Linked DNA regions of Oryzias latipes. The protein of the gene in region 2 purifies or fractionates together with the protein of the main gene of each other region. This does not show direct contact. Links are inferred from orthologs where the notes say so. Each region holds a gene or a part of one and is shown on either strand. Other genes may lie near its edges. The genes, in order: larp4, rack1, helz and riok3.

The links.
Region 1: the proteins of rack1 (region 2) and larp4 purify together in Homo sapiens (affinity purification with mass spectrometry; 3 studies listed by BioGRID and IntAct, counting the BioPlex papers as one, with this or other methods). This does not show direct contact. The link is inferred for Oryzias latipes from reciprocal best matches to the Homo sapiens genes RACK1 and LARP4.
Region 3: the proteins of rack1 (region 2) and helz purify together in Homo sapiens (affinity purification with mass spectrometry; 3 studies listed by BioGRID and IntAct, counting the BioPlex papers as one, with this or other methods). This does not show direct contact. The link is inferred for Oryzias latipes from reciprocal best matches to the Homo sapiens genes RACK1 and HELZ.
Region 4: the proteins of rack1 (region 2) and riok3 purify together in Homo sapiens (affinity purification with mass spectrometry; 3 studies listed by BioGRID and IntAct, counting the BioPlex papers as one, with this or other methods). This does not show direct contact. The link is inferred for Oryzias latipes from reciprocal best matches to the Homo sapiens genes RACK1 and RIOK3.

The regions. Positions count from the first base shown.
Region 1 is NC_019865.2:11,281,981-11,287,613, forward strand, and holds the start of larp4 (la-related protein 4), read left to right. Parts: upstream 1-2,261; 5' UTR 2,262-2,685; coding exon 2,686-2,802; intron 2,803-5,384; coding exon 5,385-5,502; intron 5,503-5,633. Other genes in the region: ATP-dependent 6-phosphofructokinase, muscle type, read left to right, coding at 467-572, 664-805. UniProt on the Homo sapiens protein: RNA binding protein that binds to the poly-A tract of mRNA molecules. Associates with the 40S ribosomal subunit and with polysomes. Plays a role in the regulation of mRNA translation.
Region 2 is NC_019868.2:17,071,377-17,076,874, reverse strand, and holds rack1 (receptor of activated protein C kinase 1), read right to left. Parts: upstream 3,459-5,498; 5' UTR 3,342-3,458; coding exon 3,233-3,341; intron 2,866-3,232; coding exon 2,694-2,865; intron 1,969-2,693; coding exon 1,821-1,968; intron 1,553-1,820; coding exon 1,457-1,552; intron 1,248-1,456; coding exon 1,137-1,247; intron 890-1,136; coding exon 749-889; intron 545-748; coding exon 434-544; intron 219-433; coding exon 153-218; 3' UTR 108-152; downstream 1-107. UniProt on the Homo sapiens protein: Scaffolding protein involved in the recruitment, assembly and/or regulation of a variety of signaling molecules. Interacts with a wide variety of proteins and plays a role in many cellular processes.
Region 3 is NC_019859.2:31,300,952-31,306,590, forward strand, and holds the start of helz (probable helicase with zinc finger domain), read right to left. Parts: upstream 3,662-5,639; 5' UTR 3,534-3,661; intron 1-3,533. Other genes in the region: psmd12 (26S proteasome non-ATPase regulatory subunit 12), read right to left, coding at 4,968-5,177, 5,301-5,378, 5,475-5,639. UniProt on the Homo sapiens protein: May act as a helicase that plays a role in RNA metabolism in multiple tissues and organs within the developing embryo.
Region 4 is NC_019878.2:4,104,524-4,110,020, forward strand, and holds the start of riok3 (serine/threonine-protein kinase RIO3), read right to left. Parts: upstream 3,811-5,497; 5' UTR 3,515-3,810; coding exon 3,479-3,514; intron 2,442-3,478; coding exon 2,326-2,441; intron 2,240-2,325; coding exon 2,097-2,239; intron 2,000-2,096; coding exon 1,892-1,999; intron 1,806-1,891; coding exon 1,696-1,805; intron 714-1,695; coding exon 570-713; intron 500-569; coding exon 372-499; intron 230-371; coding exon 47-229; intron 1-46.

The DNA.
Region 1 (5,633 bases), on a different chromosome or scaffold from region 2:
CTCCACTGTCTACCAGCGCATTGTTTCAAATATAACGTTTTAATTTTAGAAGTTAACATGTGCAGGTCCCTCTTACTGAGATTCTTAGACCCCACAAACTTTCTGAAGATGTTTTTTTTTTTTGGTTGTCCTTCACACACATTTTAAAGTTAGAAGGAATTGAGGATTTCAAGCTGAAGGCTCCCAAACTCCAGAGTGCTCTTTATGTTTATATGTATTTATAGTTTTGCCTTTATCTTTATTAAATTTTCTTTTTTTCTCTATTATGGGGTTTGTGTTGTTCATCCCTTTGTGACTGGGGAAAAGTGCTGTATAAAATAACTTTTCTCACAGACGTGGTTATCATTTCATCTGATAGACATAATGGCTGGCACTGTTCCACTGTTGCTTTTTTTCTATTTTTACATAGCTATGTTGATGTGTGTGCAGCAATGTGACATCACTGCTCACACATTTGTTCTGCTAGGTCGTATCTTTGCCAACACACCAGACTCCGCCTGTGTTTTGGGCATGAGGAAGAGGGCTCTCAACTTCCAGCCTCTTGCTGACCTAAAAGCAGACACAGATTTTGAGTAAGATGAACAGCTTCAAATAATAGAATTCTCCAGGGAGAATTTCAGGTCAATTATGATTTTTCGTGCGCTCTTTTGTTTTTCTCTGCAGGCACCGGATCCCAAAGACACAGTGGTGGCTAAAAATCAGACCCATCATGAAGATCCTAGCCAAATATGACATCAAACTGGACACATCTGAACATGCTAACTTGGAGCACGTGGTCAACAAGACGGGTTCTTTGAAGAAATAGAGCCCATAGCTGAGCAAAACCTCTCCATATAAATGATAAAAGTATCTAAAACACTCTTTTCTTGTGCTGTCACTCTTTTCCATCCAGTAGAATTAGCAAAATAATTATCAAAAACAGGACCAACTGGCAGGAAAAAAGTAATGAAATATTAATTAGGAAAATACTGTTTGCTGTCAATAAATTTGGTTATTATGTGTGGTTATTTTTTATATTTTTTGCACACAAAAAATGAAAACAATTTCAAACAAGTCAACCGTGATCTCAGAAAATGTTCCAATTCATTTTGGGTAAGAAATTATTTTAAAAAAAAGGCCAAATAAGAACTAGGGTCTGCAGAAATTGTTAAGTGTTATCCATCATGTTTACCTGATATCTTGTTCTCTTTCATATAAAAAAAAACAGCCTGCAGATTTTTGCAGTACTGATCAAATTTTAGGATCCTTGTTACACACAAGAATTTAAATATTGTATATTTTTTAACAATCATAAACCCTTTGTATTAAGAAGGAACTTTTAAGACCATTGTTGTGCCCTTAAAACCGTGTAAATTGAGATCAATCTAAAATGTAAAGTTTTTTTTTCTGGTTTTTGTAATGTGAAGTTTGGTTGTAAAGTTGCAAACTGGCCTTTATTTTCTCTCTTAGGACATGTTTCAAAAAATCTGTTTCCCTGGAGAATTTCAGACACAACTGACACTTTGTGTAAGACTCCCCTTTTCACCCGTTAACAGGGAGAGGATTCTTCTGTGGATTTTGTAAACAGAAGTTAGGATGAGGAGATAAATTCTAAGCCATCAAAGATATAATCCCGTCTCCCCTCACAGCATTAAACCTTCACCTCAGTGTCGGTCAGAAGGAGAACAAGACAGACATTTTTAATAATAACCAACACTTGTAAGTCAAAAACTTCCAAAATTATTGCATCAAAAATGGCAGGTGAACTTCTTATTTATCTCCAATCATATTTGTTGCAGAGAATAAATATTTAAAACTATTTATTGTCAGTAGCTCAGGAATCCTTCAAATTGCGAATGTTTTTTTCCTCTATCTCTATATCATTTGTTCCTGATTACATCTGAGGTGTTTCATAAAAGTGGAACTGATTACATCACTAGCCTCCTTTCATTATTGCTTCATCTCATTTGAAACAAAAAGGAAAATTACAACAAAGCAAAAAAAACATGACTTTTGTGTTTCTTTTTTTTTTAAATAAAACTACTTTATTAATGTGATGTGGAATGGCCTTCAGAAAACACTTATGGTGATTATTTAAAAAAAAGACATAAGTAACATTTCGTTTTAAAATGAAATGAAAATATTATCTTAAATTATTGAAGCCTTCTTTGCTGATTTTTTGGCAGAGAGATAAAATCGTGAATTAAAAAAGACATCAATTAGGTAAAAACTACAGGAAGTGGAACCGGAAATGGAACCTCAAAGGTCACAGAGAATTCGCGGTGACACTCGGGACGTCGGCGGACGTGTGTGCCTGCGCTGAGGAAAGGTGCTTGTCCCCAGTGTCCGCTCTGGTCGCCCGGTTAGGAATGCGCCTCACGCAGCCGGTGTGCAGTATAATGCTCGGTGAAACGCAAGCGGTGTCTGTTATCTGAGTAGAGACATGGTTTGGCATCGCTTAGAGCATTAGTATCTCGTTGAGCACTTGATTCATTGAGCTAACTGTCGTTAGCGCGTCGTTAGTTCATAGCGCGCTAGGTCGCTAGGCGGCTAGCTAGCGAGGAAGCTAGGTAAGTGTGCTGCCGACCGATCCCACCGAGTAGTAGACAAGCCAACTGACTGCTGAACACAGCCGGTGTTTGAAAGAGGTGGTGGCAGGCGGGGTTGGGAGAACACGACGGGGTGGAAGTGAGTGAGGAGCGGCTGATGAGTTCAGACCAGAGCGGAGAGCCGCCGCTGCTGCAGGAGGAGGCTGATCCCGGACCGAAGACCGGTGCGAAGGACGAGGCTCCGTTGGGGAGCGAGGGAGGGACAGGCGGCATGGTAAGTGAGGCCTTATGTTGCTAGCTAGTTAGCTAGCTAAGTGACTTATGCTCAGCGAATACCTGTTTGCGCAGTTCAACCCCCTCTGCGGATGAGTGAAATTTATTAGGCAGCAACAAAACTCAAACGAAAAAAAACTGTTGATTTATAGCTTTCAGCTTGACCATGGTTTTCTGAGGTTTTGCGTTATCGCACAGTGACTAAGCTTAATCACATGTTGTTTGTGTTATGACAACAGTCCAAAAAGGCTAACCACGGTGGCACTTAACGCTAGCAGCCTGTTTAAGCAGGTATGTTTGCCCACTGGTCGTTAGCATTGGCTCTGCCCCTGCTAGCCAGCACGTTCATTAGTTTGCTGAGTAATCATTAGCTTGAATAGATAAGCTTCGTTACAGCTGTAGAATAATTTATGTGCCTCCGTATAGTGAGGGTCATGACACGTTTTCAACCGCTTTCATTTACTGGGGCCTTCTTTTTACCAGTCGAATGAATGATGTGGAACTACTGTAAGGTTATGTTAGCTAATCTCGACGACAGCCAACTTCGCAGGCGCATGCGTTGCAAATATCTGGCCTGCCCTGTGCCTTGCAAAGCAGTCAGCTGACACTACTTGGTTCATCACGGCCTGCTGGACTCATGCGTGCTTTGCTGTCATGTGTCAAATTACACGGCGAATACACATGTTCATGCTTATATGAATGACTCTGAAGCCCATCAGCTGGATGCATCACTTCCTGCTGGCGGGTCCTTGGAAGTAACTTGAGGCTGATAGAAGCTGTTTAGTTTTGGACGGTTTCAGCGTGAGGGCGCTGGGTCATTGGCAGGTGGCAGTGACATTGTCAAAATAGGAAGCTGCTAAATGTGACAGTTACTGGCGTTTCAAGGTTACTGGGAAACAGTCAACCATTACTCATTAGGTCAAAAATGGCTATAACCCAAAGTAATAATAATAATTTGATTCTTCCATTTTAAAAGGGCGAAAAAATAATAGTCGGCAATTGTGGAAAATAATAAAATGCTGAGTATTTATATTTACATGGTTTAAAATGGTGTACAAACTATTCATCTAAGATGAATAGTTGAATGGTTTGAATAGTTAATAGTTTGTAAGTCGACCCACTTTAACTGGTTGTTTGTGTTGTAGGCTGCAATGGTCAAAAATAATAGTCTTGCATGATTTCTTTTTGCATTTTAAGTATTTCTTTGCAACTTAAAATACTTTTTGTCCTCCAAATGTCTATTTTTTCACTTTGCTGCTTTTTAAAGTCCTATTTTATTCATAAGCCTTTTTTTCTGAGTTCCCTAAAAATAAAAGAAAAAGCAGAAAGAAAATCTCCAGAGTATAAATAACAGCAGCCTAGAAACGTAAAGTAATAATAAAGAAAATAAATCATATATGTTGCACTTTATTAAACAATATGGGAAGAAGATGAAGGTTACATTCCATCTCGAAAGTCAAATCATAACAGAGTAGATAACAATAATAGACTGCATTTATGCAAGCTGTACTATCTTGGTACATTATTGCTTATTTAGCTTCATGAAACATGGGAGGAAACCAGTATGTTGGTGCAACATATAAACAATTATTAAGGCAACCATAAACTCTTTTACATTCCTCCTCTTTGTCACTTCGGAACAACACCGCCAAGCCCGGCATAAGACTAAGCAGTGCTTCTTGTTCTATATTGCTGTCAGCAGTAAATACGGATGCACGCACCTACAGTGCCCTCTAGCTGTTGTTGTTTTCTTTTTTTTTTCCAAGTTGCACCAGAATATAAAAGTTGTTTGTGTATAAGTCACAAACCTGGCCAAAGTATACAACTACAACAAAATGTGACTTGTACTCCAAAAACTATGGTACCTTGCACAACTTTACCATACATTATTTATACACCCATACATTCTATATGTAAAGCCACTAAAAATATATTCGGTTCAGATCATATGTGTGTGCTGCAATATCATCTGTGACCTATTTTAGGTTAGAATTCATTGCAGATTTGTGACTAGTTAGCACAATATGGTACGTTGGATGGATTGTACCTTTTACAATTCTTAATTCTAAAAGGGATTTAAAGTTTAGGTTTTAAAATAAACATATGTGGTTTTTGCTTTATTTTAAAAAGTTAAAATGCTGCCATCTGGCTTCATATGTCTGTTTTTTTCTCTTTCTTTTATCTGGTATTATAAAGCCAGTGCTTTTCTGTCAACAGACATGATAAAGCAAAAGCCAAGCATGCAGAAAAGTTGTTGCATCTCATATTTTCATCCTAAAAGTGTTATTTCAAATTATTAATATCATTCACTTTCTGCATAGCATCATTGTTAAAATTCTCAGTTCCTGGTTCTTGAAATTTGTTGAATGAGGAAGAAATGTTTTTTTTGTCTTAGAACTGATCCACCTTAGACCCAAATGAAACTTGAAACCTTCTCCCAAATGATTGCTGCACCTTTTCAGACTGTTTGTGTTTTTATCAAACTGCTTTTTCATCCTGGAATGTGAGCGTCTCTGTGCTATCAGCACAGATAGGAGTTGTTTCTTGTCTGATGCTGTGTTTTTTTTTTTTCTTTTGTTGAAGGTCACCTCGAAGGGTGCCGGTTTGAACCCAAATGCCAAAGTTTGGCAGGAGATGCCTGTGCCCCCCAGTGAGGCTGTTAACAGTGGCCCAGATTGGCCCACTTCTGATATTAATGAGGGTGAGAAATCTTTTCCGTCAACTGCAAGACACAGTTTTAAGTCAGTTTGTAGGGTTTTTTATGGTATTGTATGAGCTTTGAAATATTTGTTACTGTAAGACCTCTGTTGTCTTTTTTTAACCTCCTGTGTT
Region 2 (5,498 bases):
TCTTGCATCAATATTATAAGTAAAACTTTGATTATGAGCAGTCTTCTAAAATGACAAACTCAATCTGCGTGAAAGTAAAATATTTAAAGTTAAGACCAACACACAACTTTTCAAACAGTCTTTTTATTTAAAGTCGATGCAGCGATGGATTCTTATCGGGTTCCAATGGTGACCTGCCACACTCTGATCAGGTTATCGGTGTAACCAGCAAACAGGGTCTGCAAGCAAATGAAGGATGGAAGTTACTGATCACAAAAACCATTAAATACATTGATTATAGCCTTGATTTTTGTCCTTTCCCCTCATATTTGCAGGACTGTCAGCAGTCAAAATCAGAGCTAATAGTGAATGGGTATAATCACTGGGGGTTAGAAGGACAGACTAGCTTTAGCAACAGCCCCATCTTGTACTTATGTCAAGAGGAGCTGAATACCTGTCCATCAGCAGACCATGCCAGAGAGGTGCACTGTGGGGGCTCGGCTTTGCTGTTTGTGCTGATCACTTCCTGTCTCAGCTCATCCACAATGATTTTCCCTTCCAGATCCTGCACACAGAATAAACATTTACCGTATGACTAAAACAACTCAAAATAACAGGCAATGTACAGAAATGACTGAAGCTAATTAGTCTGGAGCTCAGAAACAGCCTCTGTTATCATCAAGCAATACAGTTAGCATTTTCAAGTTTCATCAAGGCCCATCAAACCACATTCAGCAGTAGTTCCACATCATCACGTAGGAGCTCTCACCCAGATCTTGATGCTAGGGCCAGTGGCGGCACAAAGCCAGTAGCGGTTGGGGCTGAAGCAAAGGGCATTGATGACATCGCCGCTGTCCAGGGTGTACAGGTGCTTGCCCTCGTTCAGATCCCAAAGCATAGCCTGGCCGTCCTGATTGAGAGAACATTAACAAGAAAATAAGCCATGACCACACAGCAGCTCTGTTCTGGATCTTCATTTAGCGTGGCTTTACGACTCAGTGTCACTCAGAAACAGCCTCTTTTGTCATCAATTGTTTACCAACAGAATGATGTGTTATTTATCCATCACAGTTGACACCTGGAGGTCGGCCTTTGTGTGCCATCACTAAAAATCTTCACAAGTATACGAGTCGAGTTCTCCAACTGAACCAGCTTACCTTTCCACCGGATGCACACAAGGAGCCGTCAGGAGATACGGTCACCGTGTTCAGGTAGCCAGTGTGGCCGATGTGGTTAGTCTTCAGCTTGCAGTTCGCCAGGTTCCACACCTATAGAAACAGCAGCAGACAGTGACCGTCAAGTTTACACTGACATGAAAAGACCAGATAAAACTGTGGAGACGTGCTCTCATCCACAAAGCTTCTCATCAGAAACCAGGTCAGGTAATACATGCAAACTTCTTTAAAATCATGGAGCATATTTTTCTATTGTTTTTAAATCAATCTAATGGCAAATGAAGGGAAGCGGAAGTACAAACCTTGACCATCTTGTCCCAGCCGCAGGAGACAATAATGGGGTTGCTGCTGTTTGGAGAAAAGCGAACACAAGACACCCACTCAGTATGGCCTTCATCCTGCAAAATCAAACACATACGGTTTTACAGGAATCTATTTGATTACAGGTCAATGCTTATGTGATTTTTTAAAATAAATTTACAAAATTTACAAGCACGAGATTATCAGTAAAGCCTTTCTTTTTGAAGGTTAGCGACTTAATTTGCTTAACTTCATGATCTGACCGTCATGTCAACTCTTCACAGGAGTTCAAAGTCAATAAAATCCTGCAGCACGGATAAGGACGTCATAAGATCTACAAAGAGGCAGCATTATCCGGCAGCTCACCTGAATGGTGTACTTGCAAACGCCGAGAGTGTTCCACAGCTTGATGGTCTTGTCCCGAGAGCCAGACACGATCTGGCGGTTATCAGCAGAGAAGGCCACGCTCAAAACATCCTTGGTGTGTCCAACAAATTGGCGGGTGGTGAGCCCTCTGAAAAATGGCACATTTACCTATTAGCAAGAGGCTTTCAATAAAAAAAAAAAAAAACATGAAGAGGACGCCTGTCATCACACCACAGCTAAGAAATACACTCCACAACAGACGGACCAAGAAAGGAACATCAATAAAGGTTTGCCTTTAGAAAGCTGTGAAACTATCAAATGTAAACAAAAAAAGGTAAAGGCTAGAGACAATAGTACATTAAAACAAGTCAGTTCAATCCCATAAAATATAAACAGGATAGATCTCCATCAAAATGACTAAACATACAAGTTGAGAGAATTTGGCATTTAAAGATGATGTGAGGTGGAATGAATTAAAAACAATGAATTTAGGTTGACTGGACGTTTCATGACTTGTGAGGCTCCTAGAAACAACTAAAGCTGTAAACTGGTGCTTAAAAAACTGAAATGACTGGACTGGATGCAGGTAAACCTCATTTTAAAAAGAAACATGCTAAATTGATTTCCAAATCTCTCAATAGCAAAACAACAAAACTAATCTGAAATCTAAGGTATTTATATGCATCATGGAATGTAATCAGTAAATGTACTCGTCTTCTTTTGATAGTCTTTAGTACATATGTGTTAGGCATCTTTTCAAAATACATCCCATTTTCTCCACAAATGAATGGCTGGCTGGCAGCTGCTTCACATAAATGATTAAAATCATGCTGCCACCAACCACTAAAGAGATGCTTCCTGCCCTTCACTTACGTGGTGAGGTCCCACAGGCGGAGGGTTCCATCCCAGGCTCCTGACAGGGCAAACTGTCCATCAGAGGAAATCACAACATCACTTACAAAGTGAGAGTGGCCCTTCAGGGAGCGCTGGGGGATGCCATAGTTGGTCTCATCACGGGTCAGTTTCCACATGATGATAGATTTGTCTGAAAGCAAGAGATACTTTAGATAAACACATTCAAACCACTTTTATATTTATTCAGATACATTTTTTTTTTCAAAATAAAATGTGCATCAATAAGAAAAGTGCTTCAGTTACAACTAAGTTTTTTTGAGGTAGCAGCTGCCACATATTATGCTATGTCACAGGAAGCTAGCTTACCTCTTTGCTAACATGTCTACAAATGTTCATTTTGCATCACTTTATATACGGTAAAAACCTCCGTAGTTGTTTATTAAATCTAGCTGGTTTCATTTACTCACGCAACAAATTCAAAGTTACAGCATTTTGAACGCAAGCAGCTGAGAGCTAACGTTAGCCATGTTGGCGGTGCCGGCGGGGCGAAGCCTCACCTCGGGACGCCGACAGAATCATGTCGGGGTATTGAGGTGTAGTGGCGATCTGTGTGACCCATCCACTATGCCCCTTCAGGGTCCCCCTTACTGTCATCTGCTCAGTCATTTTGGGGAGGTTCGGTGGTGCCTTTTACAAGGATGGATTCGGATTTTAGACAGGTTCAGCCGAACCTAGCTCCTCATCGCATCTAGGCACAGAGGAAAAGGAAATACGACCCCGGATGCAGAAACTATGAAAGGTCGCGCAAAGGATTCTGGGACGGGTGGACTTGACTACACCGCAGTAGTCTGCTTTACGCCATTGATGTATGCACCTCTTAGCTTGTTTTTCAATTAAAAGTTCTCTTAAAGAAAGGGGAAAAAAATCCCAATAGTTATCTTTATTACGTACGGAAGAAGATTAGGACCACGGAGAAAGGGAAATTCTCACTTTATCTCAGAATTCAAACCTTTTCTATCTCAATAATGTCAGATTTCTGACTTTATTCAGAATTCTAAATTATCCAGTCAGAGTTCTAGACTTTTTTTTACGACTTCTGGCTTTTTTCTTCGGATTCTAACCCCCTCCCCCCATTTTAACCTAATTAATTAATCTAATTGGTCTAATTTAAACTTTTTTTACTCTGTGCTGTTTAAAATAATCTCAGATTTCTGACTCTTTTTTTACTTCGATTGTCATTGTGTTGTCAGAGCAAAGTGTTTGGACAGCCACAGCCACATCCACTTATGGCAGCAAAGGAGTGGCAACGTAAAAAGCATTTCAAGATGAACTTTTGTTTCTGATCAAATACCGTACTCTTTTTCTGTGCCCGTTTAACCCTTGTGCTATCCTATGACCCCCACCCTTACATTGACGTGTTATTCCTACCATGAAAAAAGTGGATAAAGGTGGAAAGATTTCATGTAATCCATGGACACCAGTGAAGATCACAAATCATTGAAGAAAAAAGGTTCAGTGAACTGTGGGTCTAGATGACCCAACTCCCAACGTTAAAGTGCCTAGGATAGCACAAGGGTTATACAAACACATTTTTAAAAATCATACAATGTGATCAGCTAGATTTTTTTAACATGTTGTCGTCTTTCAAAGTTGAATAGTATCTATGATGAACATTACTGACCTGTCATTTTAAAAGTGCGACATCTTGAAGAATCAGTGACTGCCAAATGCTTTTTTTGTTACTGTGCTGTACTTCCATTCATTATATTACAGATTGTTTTTTTTATTCGAAAATAATCAATTTTGCATTACTGCGATGTTACTTTATTTTGATCATGCAGAAGCAGAGGAGACAAATATACGACAAAGAATTCTATATTTGAATGAGGTGTAAGGCAGTTTGTATGATGATCCATCTTTTTGGAATTGTTTTTTTAATTCAAGCACACAAAACAAAAGAAAGCAGAAACAAAAGAAGCCAAATAGCTAGGATCTGTTCGTGATGCCAGAATTTTTAGGGAGTCATAATTGTGCCCCAAATTTCACCAGGGTATAATTTACCTTCATTTTTTATACAATGTCATGCATTTAATGTTATGTAAATTATACACTTTAACTGCCATTATAGGACATTTCAGTGGTTACTTGCTGGGGGACAGGGGGTATCCTTGTCTGCCATATCTGATGACCCCCTACCCTGATCCTCAGACTCGACAACAGGCACAGTTCAACCTGACCCACAGCAGAACACGGGTCAGGGTGGAGATGACTATAGGCATCCTGAAGGCAAGATGGCAGTGCCTATGTAGGCTCAGGGTCAGCCCAGAGAGGGCATGTGACATCACAGCTGCACGTGTTGTTCTTCACTACATCCCCAGCATGATAGGTGAGAGGGCCCCGCCACCTCTTGATAAAGACGACCAAGTGAATGCTCCATTAAACCCAGCTGACCAAAGAGATGGCAGGGTGGTACGGGACATGATTTGACAAATTTATGTCAAATAACAATCAAGAGTCAAAGGCTAGTTGTTATTTCTTTATTTGCTGTAATAAAAAAGTGAATTTATTTCTTTATGCTCCATTTAACAAATAACAGATTAAATGTACACATACTGTTTTTCACCTTAAGCTGGTGCTCCAGCAATTCTATTTCAAGGCTGGTCTTTTTTAGGCATTAAGTTGTATAAGGTCCATCTAAAGGTCACATTTTCTAATTTGCCTTAGAAGATGAACTTTATACATCTCTCTGGCAGGAAACAACAGAGACAAAGTAATTCCACATAATTGGAATTAGACGTTTGCAATACAGACCAAATATTAACA
Region 3 (5,639 bases), on a different chromosome or scaffold from region 2:
AATAATTATTCTTATGTACTGGGGATACTTTCTTTCTAAATCATCTTCACTTTTCAAATGCTTGTGTAAACTATTTATTATAGAGAAAATTGTGGTAAAAATGTTAACTGATAGCAGTAATAAGAGAGCCTTATAAATAAGGTTCTGCAATAAAAATTAAATAAAATCATGAAAAAAATCCATTCATCCATTCTCTAAACCTGCTTAATCCCTTTAGGCCCTCTTGGAGTCACTGTGTTGCTGGAGCCTATCCCAGCTACAGTTGGGGGGGGGGGGGGGGGGGGGGGGGTCCACACATTTACATACATAGATAAGGACATATAAAACATTAAGAGTTAGAAATGTTGACCCCCCCCCCCCCCCCCCCCCCTATTGTTAATGCATTAGGCAAGTTTTCGGCAAATTATTTTGCGGTTACGAACACAATTGCCACCATGCGATGGGAAGGCATTGGCAGAATCTTTAAGATTTCTTGCCGCCGCCTGATTTTTTAAAAATTTGTTGGCATAGTCATGAATGTAGACAGCGGCTGTCAGGCGTTAGTCAGGCAGGCAGGGATGACATCTTTACGTAATTGGGCGACAGCTGGGCAACCACAGGGCGGTGCCAGCCGGCAACAGCTCTGATTGACGTGTAAATGTCTCCGGACGGCGGCCATCCATATCGAGTGCCAGCAGCTGCCAGCCACCCGGTAGCCCGCAGTTATCTAAAAACAATCGGGTCATTCTGTACCCTTGGTCATTCGTAACTCAGATTTTGAGCACACATAATCCTCAATTTACAGATTTTTGTACAACAAGCCTCCCAAGAAACCCAGCAAGCGCAATCCCCCAGGGCCCAAGAAAACGAGGATCCAACCGCAGCAGGAGTCTTCATCAATGCATCATCAATGCCGTTTCCCTAGAATTTGCAGGACCCACGGTGGGTGAGATCGCCAGATTGACATGTGGTCATCGCCAGGCCCCTGGCCCATCTGTACTGCCCGGGCTGCAACCGTACACTGTCTATCAATCGGATGGTGGCAGTGGAATGGCAGCACGGTAGCAGGGGAGTGGCAGTCTGTAATCGGCCAATCCTCAGACGATTTGGGGGAACCTGAAGACCCTCCCATCAGTCAAATGATCGCAATGCTGCCTTTCCGCCGCCCGTCTGTCACTGAACTACCATCGTGCGACCTTCAATGTGCCCTGGCGGCCACTGACCAGTGTCACAAAAAAAGTTGTCCGGTCGTCGTCAAATATTTCTGTTTTTCCTTAAAACCTCCCCTGGCGGCCGTGTAATAATGTGACAGCCGCCTCACAATTACAACTGCGGCCACCTGCAGAATTTGCTAAAAAACTTGCATTTAGGCCGCCACACCGTGGCATTTTGGGATAGGTGACGGTGGTCTTACACAGCAAGAATGCATTTTACTGAACATATCAGGTGATCTCATTGAAAAAGAAAAGAAAAGTGAGAACTAATAAACATGACAAGCCAGTTTCATTTACAAGTATGGCAAAAAAAAAATTGCTGGTTCAACAATATCTTTCTTCAGTGACATTTTGCTCAAATTCAAGAAATTCTTAACATTTTAATGTGGATTTTATGCCTATTTAGCACCTAATAATCAATGTGGTTGAAATCAAATTGAAATAAACACATGCATCGAAATGTGTGTTGTAAATATAACAGGTTTTTTTTTAATTCCTTTAAAGTAGGTCTGTCTTTCCAATAGCAGTAGTAATAGTTGATTTTAGACAATCTTCTATGTGGTCAGACACTTAGCAGGAACATAAACATTTTCCTTAATTAGGATACTGAAAAAGTTAAAAAAGTTAAAAAAAAAAAGCACCTCTAAAAATCCTGCCACATGACTTAATTTATAAGGGAATCTGGCAAAAATGTAGCTGCCTATGAAAAATTAGGATATTCAGATTAGACCCATCACACCTCCCAACTTTAAATATTTTTGGCCTGTAAACTCAAAACTGCTCAGCCACTATCACATGGTAATTACACGCATGAGCCGTGTCCTAAATTCCATACATTTTTCAAAGTCGAACTACTCAAAAGAAAAACAATTATCAGACACTGTTGACATTAGTTTCTTCTTGCTCAAATTTGCTGAGTTACACGACAAAAACTAAATAAATGTGATAAACAAAAAGCTTTCAGAAAGCTTGCCCCCATTTTAAATTTTTTAAAGTAATTTGTAATTATTTTGAATTATTTTATAGGGAAACTGGAAAATCTCTAGACTCTGCAAAATAGCATACAGTCCAACAAACCTGGACTATAAGCACATGAGTATAAAGTTGAACTAAACAAAAAATAATAGTTTTTTTTCCAACAAAAGTCCAGGTCCATCATTTTTATACTCGCAGCAGGTCACAGTATACTGACAAATGCATTTACAAATTTTGCCCTTAAAAATGGACATATGAGCGATCGAAATAAAAAAAATTAGGACAACAAAAGAAAATCCCTAAAACTGAAGAGGTTTACATTCAGCAACAGTCATTCCATCAAAATGCAGCAGCAACATGAGGGGCCTACAAAATAAAAGCCCAATGTTATCCCCAGAATGTCCATTTTTGCACATCACCCAATCCTAATTATAACGTTACTATTAACAAAAAGAGTAAAACATAAAATAAAAATATTGTTAATCAACTATAGCAAATATAGTAAAAGTATGATTACGCCTGTATGTGATGTTATGTGTTAAAACTTCAAAATCTAGAATCTGACGTAATAGCAATAATAAAGTTATCTGGCGGGATGCACTGGACGACTAACTTTTTTTTTTCTTTTTGTATGGTTGAATAGAACATAAGCGATTAGAAGTCACTAAAGTGTTTGGATGGGATGGCTTGATAACAGGAATACAGTTGTGCTTTCATCCTGACTGTAACGTTATTTTTGTTGGCAGCATCCGAAGCAGCAAATTAACGAAGAAAAGAAGAAGAAAGAAAAAAACAATCGAAACGTGCGCACATTTTTTTCAGCAACAACGAGCAGACATTCAAACTAACATGCACTTCTAATATCCCTCTGCTGTAATGGCGTGTTTTCCTCTGTTTTTTTGTTTGGCTGGAAAACTTGCCCATGACTCCTGCTGCAAATCAAGCCGATGACGGCAGCGTAAAGCTGTTAAAAATGATTTCACACGCACAGTCGGAGCTCACTTAATCTACTCGCTTGGGCTAAACAATCGATGTTGCTACCAGAGAGACTAAGAGTAAAAAGCTTTCCAAGAAACACGACCTTTCTTGGCTCAAAAATATCTGGCAAAGATCACAAGAATAGCTGGCTAGTTTGCTCTTGTTAGCGAGCTAGCTAGCTAGGTTCGCCGAAACAAAACGGTTTGGGGCCTGACATTATGGCTCGCTGTTTATGTGCATATTATTTTTACGACACATTGTTGGAGTGAATGCATGGACTTGAATAATTCTCTGTCGTCTTGGTGATGCCTGAAGGGGATTCTTGTCGGTGCCTCTGCGACGTTAAGAGACATTTAAAAGGACTAAAAATGGGAAGTCAACACTTACCTAGCTTTACTTTCTACGCCATCTTGGATCCACTTGTCAGTCCATCGCAAAGCATAGTGGGATGTACTGAGCTGAAGGTTGAGAGGACTGCGCGAGAGCGCGCGCGTGCATGCGTGCGTAACTTTGCACTGTGTTCTCTATAGAGTAAAGAAATATGAAAAACAGATAAAGCAGCATGTAAAATAAACGCCTTTTAATCTATTGGAATCAGTTCTGGCTGAAGCCTTCAAAAGCGTCAATTATATAAGAGCGTTTGCTGCAATGTTTATACTTCCCTAAGGAAGTTCGTGCTAACAGCAAAAAAAACCTCCTTATTTGTCACATGAGCATTTCTGCTATAGCCTCTGAGTGTACACCACATGGCACTAAAACAGTTTGTCTGCAGCTTTTACTCATGATGCAATATGCAAAACATGCAGACAGCATTGGTGAGAGGATTTTAGGGAGGAGACACGTTTCCACATTGCATCTTTTTTTTTAATCAGAAACATTTTTGACTTTGGGATGCAAGTGCGGCACAAGTTTAGCTTTTGTTAAGGAAAATAAAATCCACAAGGGCGTACGCTCATTTATGAATTCCTTGCCCTTTGATTCTGCATACAGAGAAACCAATTCAGATATCAGCATACATTGACCTACTTTGACCTTTTTATCAGCCTCAAACTGTGAAATGATTTTTTCATAAAAATGCTGCTCAATTTGTGAAACTGAAGAGGAACGGCTGGATTGTATGAACTGACTTTTTAATAAAGAAAACTAAGTTTTAACTTTAGCCCTTGTGCCATCTTGTGGGGTCCAGATGACCCCACTTGCAACGTTGGGACCCCACAAAATAGCACAAGGTTTAAAGAAGCACATTATTCCTCGCAAAAATAGTTTCATTTCCAATTGAGAACAATGTTTTTAGGGGTTCTGTGCTCATAGAAATGGCTGCAGAACATGTGTAAAGTAACTGTTGCTCCAGGTTGGACCCTGAATGCTTTTCCTGTAGGCTGTGATCACCACCACAGACAGTCTATACATGTCACTGTGTTTAGATTACACTGAGATATGTGAAGACAATTCAAGTTTATTGTCATTAACATTGAAGCTAAAACAAGTTCACCAAACAAGTTTATTGTTTGCCTTGCTAAGTACAGTACACAATGAAAACAACAGGCTGAACCACGTTTTCATAAAGCAATTGAAAAAAAAAAACGAGGATGTAATTTTCCATCAAATGGTTGCAAAGGTCATTGGGTTAAATGAAAACCAGAAAGATTTGTTTGCGTTACTACACAGTAAAAACAAAACACTATTGAAAGGATGTGTCTTATTTTTCCTCAATTCTGAGACTCCAGTTGAGCTGCAGTCAAACATTGCTCAGTTTGCTGCGTGTTCAAAAGTACGGGTGCCCAGCAGAATCAAAAATAGAAAACAAAGAACGTTGTTGTATCACTGCAAGTTGTGGATCATCTCTTCCTTGGCAATAAGGTGTGTGGTTTTGTTAACCAAAGACATGAGAGAGTTGAGTTTGTGTGACCAATCGTTGAGCAGATCATTGGGGTCTTTGGGTCTCTGAAAGTTGATGATGCCAGCGAGTCGATCCACCTTGGCATAGATGGTTTTGTTTACCACCAGGCTGGAAAGGAACTCCTCTGATTCCTGTTCAAGTATTTAAGAACAAACAGATTTGGTTAAAATCCTTTTTTTCATTTTTTTATTCAAGTTAAACCCTGAATAAAATCCGTTTCTGTGGTTTTAGCGCAGACTTTAAAACTTGCTTACATCGATGGAAAGGTCGAGAAGATTAGCCATCCTCTTCATTGTGATTCTTGTGTAATATTTAGCCATTATTCGGATGTTCTGGGGACAGACCACAAACCGTTACAGGCATGCACATATGAGGGCAGTTTTTCATTGCTCTTCCACAGTTTCTTTCTATTTGCCTTTAGGACTTACATGCTCCACAACTCTGTTCTTCAGGTCTTTCCACCTCTTCTCCCCATCCTCTGAATAAGAAAACACATCCGTGGCTGGGCTGTCCGGTGAGCCATCTCTCAGCTCCTTCCCATAGTCCTCCACCAAGGAGGCCCAGCGCATCAACTCCATGGTAGTGAACTGCTT
Region 4 (5,497 bases), on a different chromosome or scaffold from region 2:
TGAGGCGGTCCTGGATCACGGCGTGGGTTCTGGACAGTCCGGTTACCTGCTCAGGTTGTGCATCTCCTTCTCGGCCCACAGCCGGATGATCTTGCGCGGGTTGAGCTTGCTGAAGCGGTCTTTGAAGCGGTAGTCATCTTTGATGTAGCGGTCTCGGTTCTTGAACTCGTTCAGCGTGGTCTTGAACACCTTCAGAACCACCTCGTCTGGAACCGGCTGCTCCTCCAGACTGACCAAACACAAACCAACATTCGGTCGGGTCTCTGAGGTCAGCGAGACGCTCCAGGATGTTGGAAACCGCCAGCGTTGGACGTCTCCTCCGGATGCGGCGTTTCAGTGAAGCAACAGTCGAAGCCGGGTCGGCGCCTTACCTTCCTCCGTCGGCGTGGAAGACCACAGACTCTTTGCCGGTGCTGATGCAGCCGTTGATGTTTTCCAGCACGCCGGCGTTCACCATCTTGTACATGAGCAGTCGGGTGCGGGGGTCCACGGCTTGCTCCTGTGGAGACAGGAGCTGGTGAGTGGGCGGGGCCGGCTGGGAGCGCAGGCGGCCTGCAGCAGACACGTACGGCGGTGGAGTGCTCCTTCTTCTCGTGCAGCCGGGCGCTGCGGCGCTGCTCACTGTAGCAGTGCTGCTTCAGGGAGTTGAACACCTGGTTGGACAGCTTCAGGTCCATCCCCAGCCCGTCTCCCACCAGGACCTCTGGGGCGAACTGCAGAGCAGAACCAACAGAACCGCTTCCTCAGAAGACAGACCAAACACCGATTGTAACGTCAGAGGAACAATTTTTCTTTTCTGGAACGCCAAGACTAGACTGTCTTCGCTGGTCTCATTTTTCTACGTCTTTGAGCGAAAATTTTGCCCACACCATGTCATCAAAAACGCACCCACATCTGAACGCACCTGGTGCCCCTAGACACCTGGTATCCCTAAACACCTGTACCCCTAAGCACTGGTACCCCTAAGCACTGGTACCCCTAAGCACTGGTACCCCTAGACACCCGGTACCCCTAGGCGCTTGGTACCCCTAGACACCTGGTACCCCAAAACACCTGGTAACCTGTAGCACTGGTACCACTAGACACCTGGTACCCCTAGACACCGGTACCCCTAGGCACTGGTACCCCTTAGCACTGGTACCCCTAGACACCTGGTAATCCTTAAGCAAAGTGAACAACGCCCTGATGACATCACAGCGCGGAAAACAGTCAACTCAATAAATGAGGCCAAAGTCTCTTTTGGGGCTACAGAAATGGTTCAAAATGCACCACTGAAACTAAAGCACACGCGTGTAGTGGATATCCAAATGAAGCTGTGAAATTATTATGGGATGACAACAGAACTTCCATTTTGTGGCAAAAACTGAAAGCTCTCCAGGGAATTTCCATCTATTGCCTCTAACTCTTCGAGCATCTCTGTAGCAGCCGTTCAGGTCAAAAGGGGGTAATGGTGGCGGGTAACAGCTGCAATGTCACTTGCAGCACTAATCCTATTCTGTCCAATCAGTGTTGTTGCTGTGGGACCAGGGTTGACTATAAACTCTAAAGGCGTTTTAGTGTCTCCTGAGGTTGAGTATGTTGGCATTTGTTTGCAGATGCGTTCAGGGTCGCTGCAGTCGTTAGGCTAAAGCAGATCTGTGCCTCATCTACGTCTGCGGTTTCTGATGGAGAGCAGAGAAAGCGCCGAGGTCATACGTTGTCCATGCGCGCCGTGTTTTTGCGCCCGCAGGTCTCCTCGTCGTGTTTGGTGGTGATGTTCTTCCCCTTCCCTGTGAAGCCCTTCCTGGGCGTGGCCTGTGGCTTCTCTAAACATACAAAAACAAAAGAGGAAAGTTTGTGAACCCAGAAATGATCCTCCAGGACGCCGGACGAGGCATGGGGGGGGGTTTACCAGCTTTGTAGGGATCGTGTCTGGTGTCCTGCCAGTCCACCTCGTCCTCCGAGCTGTCGCTGTCCTCATAAGGATGGACCATGCGGTAATTTTCAAAGGAGATGGACACTACACAGAAGAAAGGTCAAACATCAGCGCTCCGGATCTCCAGGAGGGGGCAGTGGAGAGCACAGGTGTGATGAAGCAGAGGCCGTCTACCGCCGACCTTTGCTGTCTCCGTTGAACTTCCTCTCCTCGCGGCGCAGCTGATCGTCAAACTCGCGGTCGAACTGCAGCTGCAGCATCTGGGCCAGCATCAGGTCACTGTCGGTGTCGGGGGCGTCCTCCGACGGCAGATCAGCTGCAGGGCTGCGAGCCGAACCCGAAGGCAGCAGAACTTTGGGTCAAACATCCAGAACCAACAGGAGATATGATAAACGAGGAAGACGGCTCACTCTGAGAGCGAAGGCAGGACGTTGTTCTCTTCGTCCAGCTGCCGGGCCAGCTGCTCGCTCATCACCTCAGTCAGACAACAGGCCGGAGGGGCCGGCGCCACAGAACCCCACGGGCCCTAAACACAACACCAGACAATTCAGAGGTTCTCATGGCTTCTTCTGAGTGGGTTTCTGTTCCTGCTGGGGAACAAACTAAACATTTGAGGGCTTTTCTATCGGCAACAGTCGTTTCAGATCAGAAAACACAAGGAACCTTTATTTGGGGACATTTCGGGTCAAACGGTGCTGATGAAACAGCAGCAGAGGGGGAACACGTTCAGGCATGATGGCTCAATCAGCCGGCTCCATCCGGTGACCTCATGGTGAGTCACGACACTATCTTTACACACAGAGAGAGACCTTTGACTTTAACCACGACGCGTCACGTTCAGAGGCCGGCTGGGAAAAACAAGCAATGATTAAACACAAATGATCCACCTTCTGTCTAATATCAATATTAGCTGATAGTTTCCCGGCATTTCTCTTCAGCCTTGGCCTTAAAATAAGAATTTACAACAAAAAGAGTTTCACGAACACAAGATTTGATCTATTTGTCCGTCTAAAATAACAGTTTAAGATTGTTTAAAAGACTTAAAGACATGTCATGTTGATGTTTAAGTCTCCTCCGATCATCTTTCGTCTCCCCAGTGATCTTTGAATTATGAGGATGCCGTTTTGAGCTAAAATCAAAAAGCTTATGTCATTTTTAAGACATATTTTCTTAACATATATCTCACTTCTATGTTCAATCAACCCAGGAAAAGTTCAAACTTGCTCTTTTCACTCACTTTTTAAAAATCTCATTGGATTTTAATCATTTACACTTGTATTTCCAGCTACTTTAGCCTTTTTTGTTGCCGTTTTAAACCAGATTTATATATATTTTTTCTTTTTTTTCTTTCGGGTTTTGTCTTTTATCGGGGACGTGAACGCGCGTCCGCGCGCAGCGCAGCCTTTAGCTTTAGCCGGCATTAGCCCCGGCCGGGCTGTCCGGGTCACGCGCTCAGCTGTTGCTCACTAAAAAGGAACCGAACAGCCATGTTGGCTCACGCCAGCAGAATTCCCGGCCGCCTCGCGCCCCACAAACGAGCCGAACCGGGCGCGCGCCTCTTACCTTTGGTGTTCCTGTCGCGAGCGCTGCTTGATCCATGATGAGTAGACAGAATGTTACACTTTATCTGGAGAGAATGAATGGCGGCTAGCTGAACAAGAAGAGCTAACGTAAGCAAGTTCACACGTGAAATAAAAATAATTCAGAACAATTTGTTCCAGAGAAACCGCAACAAGGTCACGTGACACAAAGATAAAGTCTCGGCTTAAAATCGATTCTTAATAAAGAGTAAATGAGGAAATGTGACACACTGGCACTGAAATAAGGTGAAGTTAAAAAAGAACCTGACTATTTGGAGAAGAGCTTCACAGGGAAGTGACCTTTGAACGACAGGAAATACGTCATGAATTCCAGTGACGTTGCTTTCATAATAAAATAAAAAATGGACGGACCCGCTTTTACCTTTTATTTATGTATTTACTTTTTAACTAATACTATTTAATCGTTTTAAAAAATTACGTCAGGTGGACAAGTTGATTTCACAAAAACAGAATTCTTTGAATGTTTTAACTAAAGTAATGTTTTACAGGAAGTACTTTAAGCTCCAATGTAGAGTGTACCAATACTAATCACTGAGCATAAAAGTATGTAAGTATAGAAAGTATATAAGTTTTAATAATGCACTATTCTGGTTCAGTAAATTTTAAACATACTTGTTTGAAACGTTAATAGTTATTACTGATCATATAATCATGGATATATGATGCATAACAGTTCATATTTGTTTCACAACCATAATTCACAGTTTACACTCAGATGACTTTAAACCATCAAATATGAATTTATTCATAAAAATATAATCAGAGGGGAAAATAGCCATTTAAAGCAAAAATAGAAGCAGTTTGACAGAAAGACTAGCTACATAATTCATTCAAGCTCTTATTTTTAATCAGACCTGCAACAATCAGGTCTTTTCAAAGTTAATCCTCAAAATATAAAGTGACAATAAAGAAAAATAGAATCGTTAACAACTTCAAATAAAAATGCAAATGTTAATGTTCTTTCTAAGAATTTCTCCTAATCTATAACCCTTGTGCTATCTTAGATGACCCCACCCTTCCATTGACGTGTTCTCCCTACCATGACAAAGGTGGATAAAGGTAGAAAGATTTCATGTAATCCATGGACACCAGTGAAGATCACAAATCATTGAAGAAAAAAGGTTCAGAGCACTGTCTAGTGGGTCAAGATGACCCAACTCCCAATGATAAATTGACCAGGATAGCACAAGGGTTAAACTCCAGAGAACTTACTATTTGTCTGACACGATTTAGATTTCAGGAAATTCAAAGATACTCTACAACTGAACAATAAAAGTAAAGTAGGACTATGTGACTGCAGTTAGCAGAAAGGGAATAAATAAAAATAAAAAATACTGGTACTGACATTATGGCAAAGTACATTTACAGAGAAATAGAGAAAAAAATGACAACTCAAACTGTGAAGATGGAAAGTCGAAAAGGAAAATAAATGATAATTACATAAAGAAAAAACCTGGTTTCTAAGCCCCAAAAGTTTCTAACCACAACCGTGAAATGACTGATTTCAGTTTTAACCTTGTGAAGGACTTTGTTTGCTTGTGGATCAAAGACTGAGCCTCGCTCAGGAACACCTAAGAACACGAGAGAACTGAAGACAAACCGCTGACCGTCCTACACTGCCGACATGTCGCCACATTGACATCTACACCATGACAGAGGAACGCCTGTTGAAGTGAAGGATGGCGACTGAGGAGAAGTGACCCTGTGCAGGCCGGGGACAAAGAGACAAGAAACAAAACACTGACATTCTCCAGGTGGGACGTCCTGTGCCAGACTCCCCTGACGGCTGTGAAAGCAGGGGGTCCACCCGACTCTGGAATAAGGTTCTCAGGGTTCCACGGGTTCACAGAGACAAGCCCCCCGAAAGTAAATCGGGATGAAGAGGTTCCTGTGAGCAGTGAAACTGGTGTGAGACGTCCACATGCAGATCACACAGGGGGGAAGAGCGTTCTCTGCAGATCTGAGCATGAAATGAGAAGAT